Linked DNA regions of Elephas maximus indicus. The protein of the gene in region 2 interacts with the protein of the main gene of each other region in a biochemical or structural test. Links are inferred from orthologs where the notes say so. Each region holds a gene or a part of one and is shown on either strand. Other genes may lie near its edges.

Region 1 (8,005 bases), about 3.3 Mb from region 2:
GCCCTCCATTGCCCCCAAGATAATATCCAAAACCTTCAAGTAGCTTCTCTCCTCACTCATGTCTCAACACTACCTGTCTCACACTGCTCTTCATTATCTGCCGAGAATATACTTCTCTCTTGGCCTCATGGCTTACCAACTTCTATTTGGTCCTCGGGTCTCTATGTACCTGCCCTTCCTGAGGGTTGCCCTTCCAGGCACTGTCATAGTCCACCATAGTTCCCCCATCACAGCACTGCCAGTGCATCTTACTTGTACTTGAGAGTTTACGTATCTGCCTCCCCCTCCAGCCTTGCTCTTCAAAGTGATGTCCACAGGCCAGAATCATCAGCCTTGCAGAGCTTGTTAGAGAAGTAGAATCTCAGGCCCCAGCTGGCCCTCCAGGATCAGATGCGCATTTTAACAAGATACCCAAGTGATTCTTATGCACCGTCAAATCTGTAAAGTACTAATCTCTTCACTGCAGGTTCCCTGGGGGCTGGGAACACTGTCTCCCCAGAGATTAGCCCGATGTCTGTCTTCAAGTAAATAGAGATTTAATTGATCAATGCTTCAGCCTCATCTCATGTTCACAAACACACTACACAGGAAAAAACCACATCCCCTTCTATCAGCATAAACCTAATCAGATCTACAGCCTGTACCTTTCATGCCAGGCTTCTTCAGGACACCCCCCCACTCATCGCATATCCTTGTTTCCTGTCAAATCCCATTTTCTCCAAGAAACATATAAATGACCCCTTTATTACTTATGCTTGTTTGTTTCACTATATTTTTAGCTCTAAATGACAGCACAAAGTGGCCAGATTGTCACGGTCATTTTTGAACTTAGTAAATTCGTAAAAACTGATTATCTGTTAATAGTTTTAAAATTATCATCCTCATCAGTCCTATATTTAAAAACAAATTTTTTTTTTTTTTAAGAAGATAGTAGGGGATCTCTCTGCTTCGTGGTAAATCTTCATTATTTTCTCAGCCTGTCGCTGGGTGAGTAGGTTCCGATTCACAGCGACCCCGTGTACAATAGAATGAAACGCTGCTGGGTCCTGTGCTATCCTCACAATCATTGCTGTTTGTCAGCCTCCCAGACCCAAACCCACTGCCATCAAGTCGATTTTGACTAGTAGCGACCCCACAGGACAGAGTAGAACTGCCCCATAGAGTTTCCAAGGAGCACCTGGCAGATTCGAACTGCCGACCATTTTGGCTCGCAGCCATAGCATTTAACCACTACACCACCAGGGTTTCCTTGTCAGCCTGGATGGACTAAATATTCCAATATGTTTATATGTTGTTCAAGTCCAACATTAAATGATACACCACCTTTGCAGAAAGGTATACATTCGACAGTGGTTTTTCACACTCAGCTTCTCACGACTCTCACTACATTCCCTTATAGAATGTTAGATCAGATCTGAAAGAGTTTATGGCTCATATCAAATCTAAAGGCATAAAAAGTCCTTCATAATCCACTTTGTTTTGATCCAGCCCTGAAGTCTACCTTCCCCTATCTCTCTCCTCCCTTTTCTTCCCAGCGAGTTAGTGCTTGGCTGTTAAATGAAAGGTTGGCAGTGTGAACCCACACAGCAGCTTGAGGCAGAAAGACCTGGCAATCTGCTTCTGTAAAGATTAAAAAAAAAGCCCAGAAAACCCTATGAGACAGTTCTAAACTGTTACATGGGGTTCCTATGGGTCGGAATTGACTTGACGGCATCCCACAACAGCAACAACCAAATAGACTGCAGACTCTACAGACTTGCCTAAGATTTATTTCCCTTATTATTATTTTTTTTTATGGGTTACATAGGAGCCCTGGTGGTGTAGCGGTGAAGAGCTTAGGCTGCTAACCAAAAGGTCTGCAGTTTGAATCCACCAGCTGCTCCTTGGAAACCCTACGGGGCAGTTCTACTTTCTCCTATACAGCCCAGTGTGAGTTGGAATCAACTGGAGGGCAATAGGTTTGGTTTTTTTATGGGTCACATGACCAATGACCTTTTATAATGACAATGCCAGAGGGCAGGACTGACAGGCCTTTGGTAGGTAAACACTGTTATACTACACTTTTCTTATGCTGATTCTATTCACTGCATTTCAGGGTGCATAATTTGAACAGAAGTTTACCAATTTATTCAATGCAGGAGTTAATGTCTATGTTAAGTATGTAAAAACTAGCCTTGAGGGGGCCACACTGCCTTTGGGATCTCAGGTTTGCGGTAACATTTCCAGGCGGCATCTTCCCTCTTCCAGCTGGGTCCTGTGGTGGCGACTCCTGAATTCCGTCTGCTCCGATCCTGATCTGTTTGCCACACTCAAAAGCACCCAACATCAGCCTCAAAACTAAGCTGTTTAAATTCAAGGGTAGCTTTGTGTTATGCTTATAGCTTCGTCTGCACCCTCTGCAGGACGACACCATAAATAAAATGCTTGCTGGTTTGTGTTGATTGACTGATTTAAGATAAATAAGCAAACTCAAATGCCTACAGGGGCCAGATAGCGTAAAGCACTAAAGCAAACAGAGCAGGGAGTGTGGTAAACAGGAGCGCCTACTGCTCCTCCGAAGGACCGGCCTGCGGCCACACTTTCAGTCTATTTTCCACTTTTGGAACAGAACCCAAGGTTGTCAGAGCTTCTAATTTTCTAATGCTGTTAGATGCCATCGAGTTGGTATGACCGTACATAACAATGAAACGTTGCTGTGTCCTGTGCCATTCTCACAATAGCAGGAATGTTTGAGTCCATCGTTGCAGCTACTGTGTCAGTCCATCTTGTTGGGGTCTTTTTCTTTTTTACTGACCCTCTAGTGGTTAATGGAGCACTGGTGGTGCAGCGTTTAAGTGCTTGGCTGCTAACCAAAAGGTCGGCAGTTTGAATCTACCAGCCACTCCTTGAAAACCGGATGGGGCACTTCTACTCTGTCCTATAGGGTGGCTAGGAGTAAGAACTGACTCGATGCCAACGGGTTCTACTTTACCAAGTACGATGTCCTTCTCCAGGGATTGGGCCTTCCTGATAACATGCCCAAACCTGGCTTTTATTAATTTCTCAATTTTTAAATACTGGTAATCAATTCAAATTTTCACAAGACACTTTGCAGGCAAATATTATGAGCCAAACCAAACACTTCTGGGGAGCCACAAAATTCTCAGCAGCCAGGGTGCAACCTCTGCATTAAGCGGTGCAGATAAATCATGAACACTCGTTTTCTAAGAAACTGCGATTGCTGGCTGTAAAGGCTAAGAGCTCTGGCTCCAGGCGGGCCAGCCTGGGTTCAGGTCCTGGCACTGCCCTCTCCCTACGCAGACTTGGGCAACTTAAGCTCTATAACCCTCAGATTCCACACCTGTAAAGTGGCCATGATCTTAATACCTGCTTCCTAGGGGTGTTGTGAGGCCCCTTAGTAAGAAGTGGTCCTCAATACCTTCTAACTATTCCTAATTTCTCTTCTCTTCATAACAATGGCATGACTGAAGCATCAAACATTGTGCAAAAGATTTCACAGTCCCAGATATCTCATTCCTCTCTTCATGCACCTGAGGTTTCTCCGTATTATCACCCATCCTTTTTTGTGTATCCAAACGGAACATGCTCTACTTTAAAAAAAAAAAAAAATTATTCGTTGTTGTGAGAATATACACAGCTAAACGTATACCAATCCAGCAATTTCTGTGTACAGTTCAGTGACACTGATTACATTCAAGTTGAGCAACCATTCGCACCCTCCTCTGAGTTGTTCCTCCCATTAACATAACTCACAGCTCTCTAAGGTTCCTATCTGATTTTTTGAGTCGAATATGCTCTACTTCTAAAATCACAGATCTAACCCGGGCGAAAACCAAGCCCCCTTACACACACACACACACACACACCCCTTTTCTGTTCCCCCTTACACACACACACACACACACACACCCCTTTTCTGTTATTAAAGGTCTGTGCTTGTCACTTCGCTGGAGCTAGCCCGGCTCTCTTAGTGTGAAAACCTTTCTTTCCTGAACTCTTTCCGGGGATTGTTTACAGATATCTCTAATTGCTTATTTATGATAAGGACAAGGCAAGTACTTTCCCCCACCCTACCTTTCCTGCCAGGAAAACCTTTCTTCTCTTGCAATTCTTAAAACCACGCTACAACCGCAGCCTGCTCTACGACCGGTTGTTGCAAATTCTCTGTCCCTACGGCGTCTCCGGAAACCTTGGTGGCGCAGTGGTGAAGAGCCATGTCTGCTAACCAAAAGGTCGGCAGTTTGAATCCACCAGGCGCTCCCTGGAAACCGTATGGGGCAGTTCTACTCTGTCCTATAGGGTCGCTGTGAGTCGGAATCGACTCGATGGCAATGATTTTTTTTGGTTTTACCGCGTCTCCTCTCCCAGTCATTTCAGGAAGTGATTTAGGGGCTGGGGAAAGGTCTCGCCACAGTCTTCCGCACTCGGAAGGCGCTGCAGGCGCCCTAGACGGCCGCCGCCTGGCCCGCCCAGCGCCCCGCTGCGGGACGGGAGCGCGGCCGGGGGTCGGTGTCCGGGGTGCGGCGCCACCGCGGGTGCGGAGCGGGGCCCGGAGTCGGCGCCGCTGCAGGTCCGCGCTCTGCGCCAGCCGCGCAGCTGAGTTTCCCGCGGTCCTGGCCGGGACGCGCTCCTCCCACAGCGACGTCCTGGCTGGCGGAGAGGGGGCGGTGCGGGCGTTAAGTTTCCCTACGTCACCGGGAAGTCCCTTTAAGTGCAGCGCGCGGGGGGGCGGGGGGACCTCAGAGTGTCCGAGCGCGTACAGAGTTCGGTCACACCTCCGCCTGTCTCCCGCCTGGTGCAGTGTACTCCCCGCGCTCTGCCCGCATCCTGCAGTCAGAGCCCTGGGAACTCGCTTGGGGACTGTGCTCGCGGGTTCGCCGCAGAGCTGCGAACGGCTGCTGACCGAGATGCCGGGGAAGAAGGCACGCAAGAGCGCGCAGCCCGGCCCTGCCGGGACCCCGGCAGGTACTCAACAGCCGGGCCGGGGGGACCAGGCAGGCCGGGGGGACCAGGCGGGCCGGGGTGGCGGTCTCGGGCGGGCGGGCAGGGTCGGGGCTCGGGCCGGCGGGGATGGGGCTCAGGCCCAGACTGCATGCGGTTCCAGGTCCGGCCAGGTCTGCCCGCCTGCGATGCCACCAGGAAGCCCTTGCGGGGCTTTCCCAGGACCGTGGAGGCGGCCTGGGAGGAAGCTTTGCTTGGTATTGGGATGTAGCTACGTTTCAGACGGGACAGAAAGCTCCCCTGTCTTCCCCCTCCCTACAGACACACAAGCCGATTGCCCTGCGCTGGGGCCGTGGGACAAAAAAGTGCAAGTGCAGGCGGCTGCAGTGAGCAGAAAGTCACTGTCATGGCAGGTGGGGTGGGAGCGGGCCCCCCTTCGGAGCCTGCACCCCAGCGCTGCCCGCGACAGGCCTTTCCCTCCCGAGTCGTGGTCCTCTGACGGTCTCTGCTCTGTTACCAAAAACCCACTACGCGGTACTTAAAGCTTGTTACTGCCTCGGCTTCTCCACACAGGGCTAATTGAGGGTTTATAGGGACCCCGCAAGAACCTCGACATTTAGGAACCTAGAAAGTTTTCTTTCTTCGAAGCTTAAGAGTGTACCTCTTAAATGGTCCATATTAATTGCAGCGGGGGTGGGGGTGGCGCTAGATAGATGAGTGGAGGTTGGTCCCCAAGCCTTTTCCACCCATCCATCCGTTCCTCGCTCCATCCCCCGCACACAGATCTCCATCAGGTGACTTTTTAAGTCACCGCCCCCCCCATCCTTTCATAAATCTTATCAAAGAAGGCAGCCATCAGTAAGGGGCAGTAGCGAGGAAGGGCCCTAGGCCTCTGGGCTTGAAATCCGTGTAGGTCCTACTGCTGTTGCATCAGAAGACTAATAGACACCTCTTAGTTTCGTTTTATAAAGCCGTTGGGGCGGCAGAGGAAGTGGGGGTGCTTTGTGAACGTGGAGATGGCTGTGTGCAACCAGGCCGCCCTTTCTGGATCTTGGCGTGGGGTGAAAAAAGCTTTGACGACTTCTTGTGAAGTTCAAAGTTCTGACCGTGTTCCTTAAAGATTTGCCGGGAACCTGTGCGTAGCCCTCCCAGGCTCCATCTACTTAGTTCGCGGTAACAAGGAACAGCAGGAAGTCCCTCTTAAACTTGATTAGATATTAGTACATTTACAGGTGTGCAACTATAAAAAAAAAGTTAAAGAAATAACTAGGAGCTATTTTTTTTTTTGTGAAAGGAATCATTTTTGCTCTTAGAATTCAGGGCTCCCAGAATATTATGCTGAATGATATCTTGTCAGTTGCCATCAAGTCGGTTCTGATGCTAATATCCCACTCACTGAAAAGTAAACTTTTCTTTGTAAATTCTTTTCAAAATGTTTGGAGTAAACCCGACCCTATAGTCTATAAAGAATGGCATCTTAAGAGATCTATTAAAAAACAAAAACCCGAGCCCATTGCTGTGGAGTCGATTCTGACTCATAGCGACCCTACAGGACAGGGTAGAGCTGCCGCCGTGGAGTTTCCAAGGAGCGGCTGGTGAATTCGAACTGACAGCGTTTGGTTAGCAGCCAAGTTCTTAGCCACTGCAGCACCAGGACTCTTGAGAGCTATTAGTTCTCCAAAAATTACTTTCTAAAAGGGTCAGGAGCCCTGATGGGGCAGTGGTTAAGAGCGCAGCTGCTAACCAAAACGTCATCAGTTCAAATCCACCAGCCGCTCCTTGGAAACCCTATGGGGCAGCTCTATTCTGCCCTATAGGGTGGCTATGAGCTTCTTCCTACACAGTGTAGGGGTCGGAATGGACTTGCCGGCAACGGGTTTGGTTTGAACAGGGGTAAGGAAAGATTTTGCCAGCTCTTGGAGAGAAATTGATTAAAATGGAGGTTTAAAAACCTGTTTTACTGTATATTTACAGTTTTCATTTATTTTGAGCCCAGCCACTACTTAAGAGCTGGAGCTTCTAACCAAAAGGTCGGCAGTTGTAATCTGCCAGGCACTCCTTGAAAATCCTATGGGGCAGTTCTACTCTGTCCTGGGTCGCTATGAGTGGTAACTGACTGGACAGCAACGGGTTTTTTTTTTTTTTCCCACGATTTGTAGTCAGAGATTTTTAATGTTCATAATCATTATTTTCAAGTGGACTAAAAGACCCTGAGTTGCTCTTTGAAATATCAGAGAAAATTAAAATTATCCTTAGTATAGATTTAGAATTAATTTCATTTACTTATGAATTTACTTGGAAATTAGGTCTAAGTATTCTTTTTCTTAAATTAATATTCAGTTAACTACAGTATCTCAATTCTAAAAAGCAGGGAACTTAATAGAAATTTAACATTACTTGTTTTCTGCTTCAGTCGTCTCCATAAAGGCAATGGATTGGTACAGATTGGGCTTGTAGGAAGAAATTTTTGCTAGAGTAAAATGTAAACTTTTAAATTATTTAAGAGAATTTGCACTTAGAAATTTTGAAATAAAATTAATGAGTTTTATGATAAAAATTCAAAGGGATTTTTTTTTAATGAGGAAAAGGATAAATTTAGATTGGCCTATTATTGAGGGTAAAACCTAAGCGATGAATTATTGACATTTAAAAAATGAATTCTATTTGAAAAACAACACAGAAGGGTTTAGAATTTGGCTTCTGTTCCCCGACCAACCTTAAGTGAGAGAGAAAAGGATGACCTCACCTGGGATTGCTAAAGATAGACTAAAGTTACTCTGTGGTGTTTGACATATTAAATTTCCGTATTTCAAAGTAACATTTGCCTCATTCAGGATGCTTTCTAAAAACAAAATTCAAAATAACCGTCTTTATTTTTACCTCTACTATTTTTTGTTGTTGTTTATGAATCACAGTGTGCTACTGGGTGTGTATGTGTTGGGTCTTTCTATGTCTTACATTCAGAGGTCAGGCTTACATAAAGCTAAGATAAATAACTCACTTGGATGGGCGTATTAACTCTAGTTGAGTACAGTTTGGATTGTTGCCAGTGCTAATGTCAGTA
Region 2 (7,715 bases):
GTCATCTGTTTTTCTTGACCTTTTCTCTTTTGGGCCCCTTAGTATTAGGACACTTTGTAAAACGTAGTAAAACATGTAATGTGCTTCTTGAATTCTAAGCCACTTGTAGTCATTTCCAGACTTTTTGTTCTTCAGTCCTATACAATAATTCCATTAGTAATTCTCCCAAGGGACTGTAAGAGAAAGCAATGAATTGCATCCTTTTCCAAAGATAAGTCCTCAGATTAAAACAAAAGTCCTAAAATAACCTCAGACAAGAATTATCTTCTTTTATTTTTTCACAATTCATACATTTAGATATGAGATGTTGATTTGAATTACAATTCTTGAGTCATAGGATCTGCACCCCTCCCCCAAAAGAATCACGGAAAAGAACAACGGCATGGCAAAATCACGGAAGCTCTGTGGAGCACCGTACCAGAAACAAATCACCTCACAGGTGTTCTTCAAAGCTGCAGGTATCAATCACTTCAACTCACAGCAAGGCATGAGAGAATCCACAGCTAAGAATCAATTCTTCTACACATCACACAGATACCCTAGATGTAAGCATTTTTAGCAGAGGAGACAACAAAATTATGTGGATTCTAGGTGGTGAAAAGTAAAAGACACTAAGATTCTAATAAACTTTTAAATCATACACTAGTTATAAAAATAGCCCACGATGCATGCAGCCGATGCAAATTCTGTCACCAAGGAGTTAAGGCAAAACATCTATATCTAACATTCTTCAAGACAGACTGTCACGCCCACTGGGAATGTGATACACACTGTAGGCTAGTGTCCAAGGACTTCTGGAATGGCAACTTACCTCTTTACAAACACAGCTAAGTTTTCCACGGAAAGAGGATATATTTGTTTTCCTCTTTGGGTAAATTTTACTAAGTGATTCAAAGAAGACATCACCTTGGTCCTCTGGTGGAGTCTGTTCTTCTGTGTGGTTCTCAAATTTTGGCACACAGAAGAATCCCTCGGGGGAACTTGTTTAAATGCAAATTGTCAAGACCGAACCCTGGGGTCTGGTTCAGTAGGCATGAGTGACCCCTGAAATCGCCAATGTCAACAAGCTACCTGAGCCAGGTAACTGATTGGGGGAGTGTTGCCTGGACCACAGGCTTGAGAAACATTCAAGGGATCCCATTTACCACAAGAACCTACTGGAAAGCCAATGCTGGATCACTGAACTTCAACGGCTGACACTCAAGGAAAACCCCTTCGGCGGAAGAAATTATCACAGAAGGGTTGCCAGGGAAAGCCTTGTTAGGTGGAAGAAGGAGGGAAGCAGGGAAGAAAGTAACCTGGTTGCTTTCTCAACAGACTCCCCTTGACCCCGGAGTCCACCCACACATCAACCACTGCGTCTCCACCTCAGACCTCAAGCACAGACTCCCATTCAACCACACATGCACCTACCCATCCTCCGTTATCCTGGATCCAGGTGTGCAGGTGCCGGTTCAGGTACTCAGTCATCCAGAGGGCGATGTTGTCCACCAGGGGCGACATCTCCCGGTTGACGCTCTCCACACACATGACCCCACCGAACTCAAAGAAGGCCACAATCCGCCCCCAGTTCACCCCGTCCCTGAAGAGCTCCTCCACCACCGTGGCAAAGCGTCCCCTCGCGGTGAAGGGAGTCAGGTGCAGCTGGCTCGACATCTCGGCGAAGTCGCGGCGGTAGCGCCTGGAGAAGTCGTCGCCGGCCTGGCGCAAGGTCAGGTGAACTACAGGTGGCACCGGGCTGAGCGCCGGCTGCGCGGTCGGGTCAGCCTGGAGCGGCGAGGTCCTGGTGTCCGGGCCCCGGGGCGCCGCGGGCGGAGAAGAGAGGACGCCCGGCGCGGGAGCGGCCCCGGGGGGCGCGGCGCTAGCTTCGCCAGCCTCCCATTCGTAGCCCCGCTGCGACAGCTTATAGTGGATATACTTCATCACTATCTCCCGGTTGTCATAACCTGTTCTCCCTGCGTGCGCCATCCTTCCCGCTCGGCCCCGCTCCCAGCCCGCGCCCCCAAAAGCCAAGAGAAGAGTTATAATCCAACGATTTTATTGGATGTGCTTTGCATTCTTGGAAGAGGGGGTGTCTTCAGTCACGCGGAACTCGACTCTGGGGTTTCCCCCTTGGCATGGGATTCAGGAAATTTTTATTTAAATTCCTTTTGGATCTTTATTGCATGAGGCACGTTATTATTATTAATAATTATTGCACTATAGGTCTACTTCCTCCGTGATGCTGAAAGGTTAAAAAAAAAAAGACATAGTCAAAATCAGGTGCATTTTCCTTTATACACCGGGTGCAAGCGGGACATACACACTACAAGTTTCACAGCTCAAAAGAATGGATTCAACTGCCTGGAAATCCAACTTACTCGAATGCACTTAAAGTTAAAATCTCAAATGTTTCCATCAAAAGTTACATGAAGCCCATTTCCTGTGCAAAGAACTTACTTGTATTTTTTAGGGGTAGCATGATCCTCTGTCAAGCTTCCTTTTTTGTACAAATAAACGCATAAGGCAAGAATCCCATCAATCTTCTGAGCTCTCCAGTTAGAGCTGCTGAGAAACTTCCAGAGGAATCAGGAGTTGGGGGGCGGGGGGTTAAAAATCAGAAGAATTTCCAGAATGATCCCCAGACTTCTGCTGCACAGAAATGTCAACCAGTAGGAATCCCCAGCACGAGGGAAAAGGCAGCGGCGGCAGATGAATTACAATTTTCAGTCCGGTATTTGCAGAAGTCCAGCGATGTCCCCTCTGGGCAATTTCCACGCGCGCACACACACGCGCGCGCGGGCACAGGCGTCGCTCTCCGCGGGGCCCTGCACGCCTCCCCGGGAGAGGGACAGGCGGGGCGGGGACGCTGGAGGACCGGGCGGGGACAGGAGTCAGTCCTCTTCGGGTAAAACTGCGAGCAGCGAGCATTTCCCGGAGAGCCGCTGGAGCAACGCGGCGGCGGACGCCGGCCCGGGCCGCGCGAGCACAGCGCTGTGTGTGGTGCCGCGAGGGGTGGGGAGAAGGCGGGGCGGAGGCTTTATTTTTTCCCTCTTTTCCTAAAAAGGATGACGGCTACGAAGTTCTCCCCCCTGGACCCCCGCTTCCGCTGCACCCCACGGCGCACCCCGCCTCCAGGCTGCGCACCCTTTCTCCTCCGCCGCCTCCGGGCCCTGCGCGCCGCCCCCCGCTGCTCCCGCGCGCAGCCCGCTCGGAGCGGGGACCGCCGGGAGGCCCGGCCGCGCAGTCACTGGCGGCAGCGGCGGCTCGGCGGGGACCCCAGGGCGGCGGGCGGGCGCGCGGCGGCGGAGGGGGCGGGGAGGACGGCGGGCGGGGGGGCGCTCTGACTTCATTCTCCTCACAGACCCGCTGGTTTCCTGTGTGTACGTCACACTGTTCATTCAAAAAAAGAAGCCAGAGCGCGCCCGCCTCGGAGCCCGCTCCCGGCCCGGTTAAAGGCACCGCGCCCGGGCCCGAGCCGCGAGCCCGCCGTGGGCCTGGGCGCGGGGCCGCAGTGAGGGGCGTGCTGGAGGCCGCCTGCTCGGCCACCACCGCCCGCCAGCGAGCCCGGCCGGTGGGTGGCGCGCGACACAGGCCTCCCGCGCGACCGGGCGCGGTGGGTGTGCGCGGCCTCCTCGGGCCTGCGGCGGCCGGCTCTCGGGGCCGCGGGCGAGCGAGCGGAGCGAGAGGCCAGGGCGTCGGGGACTGCACTCTGCCAGCCGGCAGCAGAGCGCAGAGAAGGGCCGGGTGGTGCGCCATGCAAACAAGCCTTGGAGAAGCGCAGAGGATTCGCTTTGACCCTTTCAAAGCGTATGCGTGTGTGTGTGTGTGTTGTGTGTGTGCGCGCGCGCACACAGCGAGTTACCAGCGCTCGGCCCATGGCGGACCTAGGCCGGTGCTGACCGCAGCCGGGACCTCGGCGCTGCCCTCCCGTGAAGAGGCGACCCTACCCATTCCGCGCATTTGTTAGCGAGGGAAGCGCGGTAGCGTCCTGTTTACTTTCAGGTTGCTTCCTCGGTGTCCATGCAGCACACACACAAGCGCGCGCGCGCCTGCCGGCACCTAAACACATACCATCCGGCCCAGTTTAAACCTGAAGCCACTATCTGTGACCAAGGCCAGACATAACTTTAAGTGGTCCAGTGAAGGGCCGACTGGAGGATATCAAGGGCTTTCCAATAGTTAAGCCAGTGTTTTTTCTCTGCTCCTCACAATTTCGGCACTGGGTTAGGGCTAGATCCTGTGGAGGGCCACAGGGCAACTTCTAGGCCCACAGTCTTAACAGTGGGTTTGTGAAAGTCTCCACCTCTGCCAAGCAGCCAACCCTTGATGGCTACATCTTCTCAAATTGTATATCTGTGTATATATGTGTGTGTGTGTATAAACGCAAATGGTTAAGTGTGGTTGGCTACCAACCAAGTGCTACTAACCTAAAAGTTGGCAGTTTGAATCCACTAAGAGGCACCGTTGAACAAAGACCTGACGACTTGCTTTTTAAAGGTCACAGCCTTGAAAACTCTATGGACCACAGTTCTACTGTGACACATAGGGTTCCCATGAGTCAGAAGGACTGGATAGGTAGGTAGATGGAAAACAGGTAGATAGATAGATACTAGATAGGTAGATAAAGTAGATAGATATCTTCAAAACCAAACCCATTGCCTTTGATTTCTATAGGACAGAGTAGAACTGCCCCATAGAGTTTCCAAGACTGCGATCTTTAGGGAAGCAAACTGCCACATCTTTCTTGCATGGAGCCGAGTGTTGCTGTGTGTGTATGTATGTGTATATACACACACATACATGTTTACATACACATTTACACACACATGCATATATGTACACACACATGCATATATGTACACACACAAATATATGTACACATACACCCCACACATTTTTTTGTGCATAAGCACGAATAACCCCGAGACGAAAAGAACAAGAGGACAAACAAGTTGCACACGTTTAACTATTTTTATCTCTGAGAGTCTTTGACAAATAAAGCACCAAGAAACAAAATGTTTAGCAAAAGCACAGCAGCCTAATAGCCTCAAATGCAAATATATAGGGACATGGGGCTTATTATAGAAACGTGACAAATGATTCCTACAATGTGTGCAAATATGTTCTGACACCATCTTTGATATTTTTCTCATTTCTAGTAAAAAAAAAAAAAAAGCATTTATTCCTTTGCAAAATGAGCACACCAAATTGTTTTCATTTCTTCATTTATCATACCCAGTCAGCCAACGTTTAAAGGTCTTATATATAGGAATGGATGCCTCGTACGAACTTCTTACCCAGGCAAGGGGAATAAAGAAAGATGTTCCTTCCCACACTTCTGATGGCTCTGACAGAGAGTCCCCTTTGACCTGTGGGCAGTGGTGAGGAGGTGTTCTGGCTTGACATAGACACTGGGTAGAGATTGACCTTGAATATAAGTTCTCATAGAAATAAGTAGAAAACTGTGTTAATTCCACAACGTTATGATTTAAGGGGGGGGGGAGCAGTGGTGATTCAGTGGTAGAATTCTCGCCTTCCATGTGGGAGGCCTGGATTCAATTCCTGGCCAATGTGCCTCATATACAGCCACCACCCATCTGTCACTGGAGCCTTGTGTGTTGCTAGGATGCTGAACGGGTTTCAGCAGAGCTTCCAGACTCAGACGGACTAGCCTTTCTTGGCTTGGAGATGTATTTCCCCAAAAATCAGCCAGTAAAAACCCTATGGATCACAATAGTCTGATCCCCAACTGATCATGGGGAAGATGTAGGACTAGGCAGAGTTTCCTTCCATTGCGCATGGGGTGGCCATGAGTCCGGGGTGACTCAAAGGCAGCTAACCACAACAACAACAATGGTTTAAATGAGCCCATATGGAATTGTCTCAGAAACTTGTCTTAAACCTCAAAAATTTTTTAAGAAAAGAAGTTGAAAGCCTCAGTCCTCCTGAGACCCAGCTTATGAGTGAGGAAATGAGAGGGTAGAGCTAGAAAAGAGATTGTACTATGCAAAGGGCAACCGGAAAGAAATAAACCCCCTCTTCCCAGAGAAAGAAATGCTTCTGTATTTTTTCCTTTTCTTTGTTCCCATATAGCCTCACTTCAAGGATTTTCTCAGAGTAATTCCGTAAGTGACATCTTGATTCTAACCAAATACTTTCTCAGAGCAGGTCTGCATTATAGCCCTTAACTAGGGCTATATATTCGCTGGGGATGGTCTCTATACTCTTTCAATTGAAAGAATGAAACCATTCTTCCCTTCTGATTCCATGCTTATTGGAATCCATTTCAAACAAGGGAAGGTATTCCTAGAAAGGGTGTAAAATGAACTGTGTGCCTTTGGGTAATGGTGAGGTAGTGGAAGAAGTCCTGGGCTTGACTCCTAGATCATGCCTGAGACCATCAACAGCCTTCCAAATAGACACTCTCTCCAAGATGTCTTCCTCTGTTTAGAGCAAAGGGACGACCCTTTTGCCAGTTTTGCCTGTTTGGATTGTAAGAGTAAGGTGGCACCAGGAAGAGAAAAGAGCCAAGATGCACAGGTTGGGGATTGTATGAAGAGTCTAAAAGGCGTGTTTTCCTTTTTTAACCTCCAGTCTGCCAAACAAAAAGCTTTTTATTGCCAGTTTTCGCCACCTACTGGTTGGTGTTTAATCGAATAATTAAGAAACTTATCTTCATCCATCACCAGCATAAATGCTCCCGAAGTTTATTAAATTCAAAAAGAACATTATTCTAATGTAGACATACTTAATATATGTATCTATTAAATCTTCCCAACTATCTAACTTTTTATTTAAAACAATGGTATAAGCGGACCATTAACTTAGAGGGAACTGATAACTAATAAGATGAAAAATATAAAAACAGGAAACATGACCCCAAACCGTTTAGGCAGACCAACAGGGAGATAAATCCATAAACAAAACCAACTGACTAGAGAGAGCAAAAACAAGTAGTAAGTCAATTTAACTTCCAGAAAAGAAAAATGAACTATTTACAGTTGATATCTTACAGGCCTAGATAAGCACTCAAAAAAAATAAGCTTCCAATTTTAAGTATCTTATACATAATAAAGGTTTTTCAGGAATCCCTGGTGGTGCAGTGGTTAAGTTGAAAGTCCCAGTCCTCCTGAGACCCGGCGAGCTATGGCTGCTAACCAAAAGGTCAGCAGTTTGAATTCACCAGCTGCTCCTTGGAAACTCCATGGAGTTTTACTTTGTCCTATAGGGTCGCTGGGCAGTTCTACTCTGTCCTGTAGGGTCGCTATGAGTCGGAATCGACTCGGCGGCAGTGGGTTTGGTTTGGTTTTTTTGATACAGGATCGCTATGAGTCGGAATCAACTCAGCTGCAATGGGTCAGGTCAATGGGTGATGCAAACATTTGCACTAACCTAAAGGCTGGCGGTTCTAACCCACCCGCCAGCACCAAGGAAGAAAGGCCTGGCAATTTGCTTCCATAAAGATTACAGCCCAAAAAAAAAAAAACCTATGGAGCAGTTCTACTCTGTAATACATGGGGTTGCTATGAGTCAGAATGCACTCAGTGGCAATAAGTTTGGTTTTTGATTTATGACTTACAATCACTTATGCTGAATAGGGCCACACTCTTTACCTGGTCAAAGGATTTGAATATTTTGTAGCCAAACATCAGTCATATAAGCCCCAGTAATACTGTTTCCAACCAAATTCTGCTCTAGAGTCTGTCGTCTTGTAAGAATGACCTCAAACCATT

What was found. The genes of interacting proteins can lie anywhere in the genome.
Region 1: the proteins of BCL2 (region 2) and PMAIP1 interact in a biophysical measurement, tested with the Homo sapiens proteins (2 studies listed by BioGRID and IntAct, with this or other methods). The link is inferred for Elephas maximus indicus from reciprocal best matches to the Homo sapiens genes BCL2 and PMAIP1.

The regions. Positions count from the first base shown.
Region 1 is NC_064829.1:68,321,015-68,329,019, forward strand, and holds the start of PMAIP1 (phorbol-12-myristate-13-acetate-induced protein 1), read left to right. Parts: upstream 1-4,748; 5' UTR 4,749-4,907; coding exon 4,908-4,965; intron 4,966-8,005. UniProt on the Homo sapiens protein: Promotes activation of caspases and apoptosis. Promotes mitochondrial membrane changes and efflux of apoptogenic proteins from the mitochondria. Contributes to p53/TP53-dependent apoptosis after radiation exposure. Promotes proteasomal degradation of MCL1.
Region 2 is NC_064829.1:71,625,051-71,632,765, forward strand, and holds the start of BCL2 (apoptosis regulator Bcl-2), read right to left. Parts: upstream 3,236-7,715; 5' UTR 2,440-3,235; exon of another isoform or gene 2,225-2,439; 5' UTR 1,969-2,224; coding exon 1,414-1,968; exon of another isoform or gene 812-1,413; intron 1-811. UniProt on the Homo sapiens protein: Suppresses apoptosis in a variety of cell systems including factor-dependent lymphohematopoietic and neural cells. Regulates cell death by controlling the mitochondrial membrane permeability. Appears to function in a feedback loop system with caspases.